Linked DNA regions of Drosophila melanogaster. The protein of the gene in region 2 purifies or fractionates together with the protein of the main gene of each other region. This does not show direct contact. Each region holds a gene or a part of one and is shown on either strand. Other genes may lie near its edges.

Evidence for each region. Proteins that work in one complex are often made in the same cells at the same time.
Region 1: the proteins of Wdr82 (region 2) and Set1 purify together in Drosophila melanogaster (affinity purification with mass spectrometry, with the first as the bait; one large-scale study listed by BioGRID). This does not show direct contact.

What each region holds. Positions count from the first base shown.
Region 1 is NT_037436.4:25,105,603-25,110,593, reverse strand, and holds the start of Set1 (SET domain containing 1), read right to left. Parts: upstream 3,001-4,991; 5' UTR 2,964-3,000; intron 1,598-2,963; exon of another isoform or gene 1,356-1,597; intron 1,317-1,355; exon of another isoform or gene 1,294-1,316; 5' UTR 1,250-1,293; coding exon 990-1,249; intron 935-989; coding exon 685-934; intron 631-684; coding exon 1-630. UniProt on the Drosophila melanogaster protein: Catalytic component of the COMPASS (Set1C) complex that specifically mono-, di- and trimethylates histone H3 to form H3K4me1/2/3. Binds RNAs which might negatively affect its histone methyltransferase activity.
Region 2 is NT_033779.5:8,372,751-8,376,079, forward strand, and holds Wdr82 (WD repeat domain 82), read left to right. Parts: upstream 1-1,710; 5' UTR 1,711-1,776; coding exon 1,777-2,730; 3' UTR 2,731-2,799; downstream 2,800-3,329. Other genes in the region: CG17292 (uncharacterized protein), read left to right, coding at 1-3, 131-538, 790-1,164, 1,234-1,378; CG13390 (uncharacterized protein), read right to left, coding at 2,812-3,329. UniProt on the Drosophila melanogaster protein: Component of the SET1 complex that specifically di- and trimethylates 'Lys-4' of histone H3.

The DNA.
Region 1 (4,991 bases), on a different chromosome or scaffold from region 2:
TTCAGCAGATCGGTCGCGATCTCTCCCGCGGTACTCTCGATCTTTAGATGAGTTATAATAATGTTCTCTTTTTTCTCTGGGCTGGTCTCGGCCTTTTTCATGAGATCTTTTACGGTCTCGAAACGACTCTCGCTCCCTAGAACGACAATAATCACGAGGACGTGAATCTGAATCTCTAGATCTTTCTCTTGTCATGATCAATATATCCCGAGAATCTTCCGGCGATATATCACTAGAACGGCGTCGATAAAAAGTACGGCGACGCCTTATTGAAGTTCCAACGTTTTCTCGCATTCCACGATCACGGTCATAACTTCGCTCTGACGAGTGTCGACTGCGCTCCTTAAAATGGCGATCTCTTTCTCTTTCCTTGTCGCGATTCCAGTTTCGATCCCTACTGCGGTTTGGAATTTCATGATTGGTTTGTGTGGTGTAGATATCCTTTATGTGTTCGCCGTTCTTTTCAGGATATCCGTGGATGAATTCGGTGTCCTCCAAAGCCGCCTGCTGAAATGTCCATTGCGGTGTTACTTTTGGACCTATTAATTGTTTTCCAGCGACTGAATTTGTAAGGCTCTCAAGAGATTTTTTTAATGTGGCACCAAAAGGATCGCAAAACACATCTAAGATCTACAATACATAGATACATTAGAACAAGACAAAAGCTGAAAAACTTCATCATACCTTTCCCATTACAGACTTTTGATTGTATTTTTCAACGAATTGTCTCGCTCCCTTTGTACTATCAAACACTATACGTGCAATGCCCAAGTGTTTGTTTGTGATGGGATGATGGTAAATATTTATTTCATCAGATGTTCCACATTTGTCCAGCATGCTAGCAAGAAATTGCTTGTCGATGTTATCATTTAGGTTCACTATTGTAACTTCGACTGCAGGTGGCTGGCCCACGTAGTCGCTATCGATGACAAACCTATGGGTACGGACCAGGTGTTTAGCTGAAATATTTTAATTTAAGCAATGGTTACCTCGGAATAAGAAGCATAAGTGGTTCAACAGCCCTGGCGCGTATGCGAATAAGTGGATTCCGAGGATCTCTAGGTGTTATTGTTGGATAGGACGGGTCTCCTGGCATTAAACCATCGTAACGATAGAGTCTGGTACCACATTTAACCAACTGTGGATCAGATAGCAGTTTAAAGTTGCGCGGCATTTTGGAGTTTGCCAGAGACGAATCATGGCTGTTGCTGGAATTGTTGACCAGGTTGATATTCCGAACGTCCTGCATCTGTGTCAATTATGAACAAACCTAAAACTCAGGAACTGTAAAAGCTATATATAACACAACAATTTTAAAGAAATTTATTGCTTCTTGAATATAAAATCTTACATACCTATTTTACTTATTAACAAAATAATAGAATATAAAAATATTTAGAAATATCACAAAAAATTTTCTGCGATGTTTTTATTTGAAAGGGATCAACAGCGAATATATAATATATAATTATATTAAAATCGTTCACGCTGCTTTTTTAATTAAAAAACAAATAATTAAATTACTTTTTTAATCATTATATTGGTTGGATGATAAAATTAACTCTCAAATATATGAAATATTGAATCACAATGCAAATAATACACAAAAACGAGGCTTTCGATTTCTAGGGGCGATAATTATGAAATCGATTTCGTAAATAATAACTAGTTCAGACTATGGCTAATTTGGGGAGTTGGGTAAATGTTGTTTCTATATTTCATAATACCGTAAAGAAAATTCTAGGCCAAGAAAAGTTAATAATCCGAATCATATATTACATTTAAAAAAAAATACGTATTACTTTCATGTAGTTGCGTTGCCTTTAGTTGCATTTAAGCGTTCTTAATCTATAACCCTATAATATAATATATATTATATATAATATAATATATTCTTAACTCTATAATATAATGGGCGAAACTGAACGGTAATTAAATACATACCCCACCAATTTTTATTAAGAATCAAATAAAAAGTTTGGTTGAAGTCAAATCTATTTTTGTTTTAACTTTTGTGAGTTCTGTGGACTTCCGAAATACTTCCATAAACATATAAGTTTTGTTTTCGCTTCGAAAATAAAATTAACAAGCAAGATTTTAATAATTTCAGTAAGAATTTCAATCTGAAACTGATTTTACAAAGTGCATTATTCTTATAATAACGGTTTTTATCAGTGACAAGGACACGGGCAGCGAAAATGGACTTTGGTCAGAAGATTTCGATTCCTTAAAACTGTTACCTGATGAATACGTAAACGGGATGGATATTTTCTTTAAAAAAGTTTTAATGCTGACTAATTGGTTCGAACGCTCTTTGTTTAAAAGTTTGAAAAGTGCTTATGTCTGCTGTCGACGGTAAAGGCGTGTGAAATGTTTGAACCTAGGTTGCTGTCGATCGTGAATAAGATTTATTTCGCCTAAGGAGTTCAAACGTTTAAGTGGTATTGATTTAAATAACTTTCACAGTAGGCTCTGGGCTTATGTTGATAACAGGGTTTGGTGTCTAGGTTATTTGCATCACTTATACATTATATAAGATTGAAATAAAAAAATTACGTTTTAATACACAGCTGTGTTTTTATTTGTTAGGGTTATATCAGTGAGTTGCCAAGTGTGAATCTGATTTTAAAAAATGAATTATTCTAATAACTACAGGGGATAGCGTCGTCAACTAGCCTTTTTGTTTTAAAGTTTTCGTTTAGATAAGAAAGCATAAACAAGACCACAGGTGTGCTCGATAAGTTGGTAGATTTTTGCGATTAGAAACAACACTTAACAAGATACACTTACAACAGTTCGGATATGAAATTATTTTAAAAAACAATATTTTAAATAGATCTTATGAAATATACACTTTCGTCTCCCTATATACACATATATTTTTTCGTGTTTTTGTAAGTAATTTGTTTACAGTGGGTTCAGTTACAGCATAGCAGCCCCAAATTTAAAAAAAACTAATTTACTTTAACTACAGATTTTTAAGTCTCCTCCGGACACTCTCCTAATGCGCTTCGTCACCACGTGGATTGCTGTCCACAGTTAATATTTTATATATTTCTATATGTTGGATAGACGCGTACCCAAAAAGTTTTAGTTGGTATACAAATTCTTAATGAATTCTTTCCCTTCCTAAATTCTGATACTTCATGTAATGTAAGATCGTCCTAAATAAGCCTTTTTTTTAAAAAAAAATGTATTAAAATATTAGGCAAAGCTGGCGAAACGCCATAACTTAATGCATTAATTCATTTGCTTCATATGTATATTGGTAGAAACTCTTGTGTGACTAGACTCTTTCTCTTTATTACTAACATATATCTAATTTAAGTATTTGTTGCTTCTGTTAATTTAAGGTTGAAACTCTTCACGGAGTTTTCGATGCGTTTTGAGCTGTTTTTACCTTTATCTTTCACTTTCCTAAACTAAATTAGCTTGTATGTATGAGTGCTACATTTTAAGACATTTTAACATTTTATAGGCATCGCGTTAGAGCTTAGCAAAGAACAAAAGAGAAGGCTATAGTCGAGTTCCCCGACTTTCAGATACCCGTTACTCAGCTGGTGTGAATTCGAACGCGATAAATATTGGGGAATTAAATGAGAAAAAATTTAAAAGCTGTTCAAAAGTGTCGGCGTGACCAGTTTGTGGCTTTAGAGCGTTAAAGTGGGTGTGGCAAATTTTTTTTTGGCAAATCGATAGAAATTTACAAAACTAATAAAAAATATCGGCTTGTGGGCGTTAGTAAAAAACATCAAAACATTTATGAAAGTGTGCTGCAGTTTTTTAAGGCTTGTTAGAGTGGGTGTGGCTAATAGACTTTGTCTTGTCGGTAGCAATGGACAAACAAAATAAAATGAAGCCTTTTGCAAGCCTTTTTCAAAAGTATGGATATAACAAATTTGTGCGAATTTGGTCAGTGTTTTAGAATAAACTTGTCCTGTGTGTACGTCAATACGTATGATGATTTCTTCGGTCAATAGTTTCCGGCTTGTTGAGTCAACGATGAGGGGGCTTATCGATTCACGATTTGGTGTTTAAATGGATTCCGGATCGCTCAATGATTACTCTTAAATGGACCAAAATTGAAAGGCATAGAAATAAGGCGCGGATCGTGATAAAATGCTTTAAAGTTTAGTCTTAGCCACACTGACGAGCTTGGCAGTTGCAACTAAACTTTTCACTTTTTGCCATGCCCACTCTAACGCCCACAAACCGCCCTACGCTGCCATACATTGATATTTTTCATATTTTTATTGTAAATTTCCATTGATTCACCCCAAAACTGTTTGCCACGCACACTCTGGACCAAAACTGTCACGTTCACAGTTTTGAAGAATGTTAATTCGGTTAAGAGCTTATTTGTTTATTTGTTTGTTACTGAAAATAAGTCGCGCCAACAGCTCCAATGACTCAAGTTCAAATGGGTTTGTACCATTGGATGACCGCGAAGTGCAGGAGCAGGAGCAGAAAAAGATAAAGCCGCCACCAATTTATATACGTGAGAAAACCTCAAGTGCGCTGGTTAACAAGCTAGCTGCAATTATCAGAGAAAACAGTTCCATGTTACACCACTTACTAAGGGCAACATACAAGAAACGAAAGTGCAGACTTAGGATAAGTCTAGCCACCGATCAGTGTCCAAGTACCTGAACGAAGCTGGGATAGTAATAGAGACATCAGTGACCTCATCCGAAATTATCGCGGCACTAAAGGAGAAGAACTATAACGTCAAAACGGTAATCAACATTCTCAACATTCTCACAGGAATAAAGAGCCGCAGCCACTCTTTAAATTCGAACTGGAGACATCGAGTCAGAAAAACAACAAAAATGAAGTACATCCTATATATAAGCTACAGTATTTACTGCCCCGAAGAATAACCACAGAATAGCGACACAAGCGCAGGCAACCTGTGCAGTGCACCAACTGCCAAGAATATGGCCACACCAAAGCGTACTGCACTCTAAAATCTATCTGCGTCGTTTGCAGCG
Region 2 (3,329 bases):
TGGGTAAGAACTAATATTATTATTAGTAAATATGAAGAAAAATTATACATAAAGCCATGTTATTGCACTAATATCCAAATTTCTTAAATATATTCAAGTATTCACCTATAGCATTATCTTTTATTCACAGACCCACGGTGGCAGATAGCGATATCTATGACCTAACCGATTTCCAGAGTCTTCTGGAGGACGAGCACTTGGATTTGGGCAAGAACACCGTGCTCTATTTGCACGGCTACTTGGAAGATCCGGATGTGGAGAGCATTCACGTCATAGCCGAGGCCTATCTGGAGCGAAAGGATACCAATCTTATCGTCCTAGACTGGGGTGAACTGGCCGATGGCAATTACATGTTCGATGCCTTCCCGAACCTCAAACAGCTGGGCCCAGAGTTGGCCAAGGTCCTGCTCAAAATGTTCGACCATGGCCTGGACATTGAGAAGTTCCACATTGTCGGACACTCGATGGGCGGCCAGCTGGCCGGACTCCTCGGCCGAGAGATTACTAAACGCACCAAGGGTGTCAGAAAGATAAAAAGGTAAAATGAAAGAGGTTTGATTTCAAATTATTTATTCATGCTCGGTTCGATTTTAGTCTATGCCGACGTCATGATATACGATGTTTAATATACGATATTTAGTTAATAATTTTAATGTCCAAAGCTTAACACTTTTGTATTACCATATGGTAATACAAAAAGTTTTTTTTTAGAATCGTTGTTCGGCAAAGTTTATAAAGTTTATATTGAATCCTTTTCTTGTCTCACTTATCTCCAATCTTCTTTTATAGAATTTCCGCTTTGGATCCCGCATTTCCGCTCTTCTATCCGGGCACGCACCTGTCTGCCAATGATGCGGAGTTCGTCGACGTGATACACACGGACGCCTGGCTGTACGGAGCTCCGACGAGCACGGGCACGGCGGATTTCTGGCCAAATGGTGGATACAGCCTGCAGCCTGGCTGTCCCAAGCGAAACTACAAGATGCTCAGCGACAACGATCTGTCCAGTCATCGGAGGAGCTGGTGGTTCTGGGCCGAGAGCGTTTCGGATCGATATCCCATTGGATTCGATGCTGTGCCCGCCAAGAAATGGTCGGACTTCAAGCAGAACAAAATAGTAGAGAATTGCCCGCCCGTGGTGATGGGTCATCATTGTCCCACGACGTAAGTTTCTACTTGCCTTATATGCATAGCGCAGAATTTAGTTTCATCATTTGAAATTGTGATTTTCAGAATTCATGGCGACTTTTACTTACAAACCAACGGACATACACCTTTTGCTCGAGGCAAGGAGGGCACTGTCTACGTTGACCCCAAGGATCTGCTGGGAAATACCCACAGCATCACCTGTGACTGCCCGTCGGAGAAAACGAATTAATAAGACCATCTACAATTGCACTGTGTACATTATGAAATGTAGCTATATTAATATTGTTGTTTCTATGACGCCTTACACCACATTTTGATTTACGAGAAAAATATACTTAAATTTTGTTGTTGAAAAAAACTTTGCATTACTTTGGGGTATTTATACATTATTATTGCACTATTTGGGGTTTTAAATGAGTTTTATTAATTACTTTTTTTGAATGGATTTTTTGAACTTTCAAATAATTTAAATCTGGTTGCTGGTTCCGCTCTTGCAATTCATTCCGGAACCAGTTCGAAAGTTGCGATATCGATAACACAGCTATCGACCCGTCAACCTCTGCCACCGATAACATTGTTTGCAACAATTGAGCATATTGACAACAAAACGAAATTCGACAGGCTAAAATGAAGATAAAACTAATAGATTCGGTGGTGCGCAGTTTTAAGGTGGCCAAGATCTTCCGAGAGAACACGGACAAGATCAACGCCATCGATTTTGCGCCCAACGGCGAACATCTAATATCCTGCAGCGAGGATGACCAGATCGTGATCTACGACTGCGAAAAGGGGACGCAGTCGCGCACGGTGAACTCGAAGAAGTATGGAGTGGATTTAATCCACTTTACGCACGCCAACAACACGGCCATCCATAGCTCCACCAAGGTGGACGACACCATACGCTATCTCAGCCTGCACGACAACAAATATCTGCGCTACTTCCCCGGCCACACCAAGAAGGTTATCTCGCTGTGCATTTCGCCGGTGGAGGACACCTTTCTCTCCGGCTCGCTGGACAAGACGCTGCGCCTGTGGGACTTGCGCTCGCCCAACTGCCAGGGACTGATGCATCTCTCTGGACGACCCATTGCTGCCTACGATCCCGAGGGCTTGATCTTCGCCGCTGGCGTTAACTCGGAAAGCATTAAATTGTACGACCTTCGCTCTTTCGACAAAGGCCCCTTCGTCACATTTAAACTTAATCAGGAGAAGGAATGCGACTGGACTGGCCTTAAGTTCTCCCGTGACGGCAAAACAATTCTGATCAGCACGAATGGATCGGTCATCCGGCTCGTAGATGCCTTCCACGGCACTCCGCTACAAACGTTCACGGGCTATCCAAACAACAAGGGCATTCCCATCGAGGCAAGCTTCAGCCCAGACTCGCAGTTCATCTTTTCAGGCAGCACCGATGGACGAGTGCACATCTGGAATGCCGACACTGGCAATAAGGTGTCCGTACTGAATGGTGACCATCCGGGACCGGTGCAATGCGTTCAGTTCAATCCAAAATACATGATGCTGGCGTCCGCGTGCACCAACATGGCTTTTTGGCTGCCCACATCCGAGGAGGGCTTGTAGGCAATGATTCCCGCTTGCTTAGCTTATAAGATTACAATTTAATTTATAAATAATAAATCAACATAACATAAACAGAGGCCTCTAACTGGATTCCTGGGGCTGGTCCTTGTGGCGGTCGTATCCTCTACGTATGCTGTTCAGGAGTTGTCCAAGATTATGACCCATTTTGGCACTAATGCCGAGCACGGGATTTTGCAGGCGACGTTGCAGTTCCTCAAAGTTGTTTTGGCCCTCTTCCACGTCCAGCTTATTGGCCACCACCAATTGCGGGCGACTCGCCAGACGTCCGCCAAACTGGCGGAGTTCGTGCATTAGCTGCTCATAGTGCGTCCATGGCTCCGGTGCACTGGCATCTAACACGAACAGCAACAAGGTGCAACGCTCGGCGTGCTTTAGGAACTGTATGCCCAAGCCCTTATTGCGATGAGCATCGGGCACGAGTCCGGGAAGATCGGCAATGGTGAGCTGGACATGATCATCGTACTGGACGGTTCCCAAGTGCGGACGCAGCGTGGTGAAGGCGTAGGGAGCAACCTTTGGCTTGGCCCGTGTCAGTGCATTCAGTAGGGTGCTTTTGCCAGCATTGGGGTAACCAATCA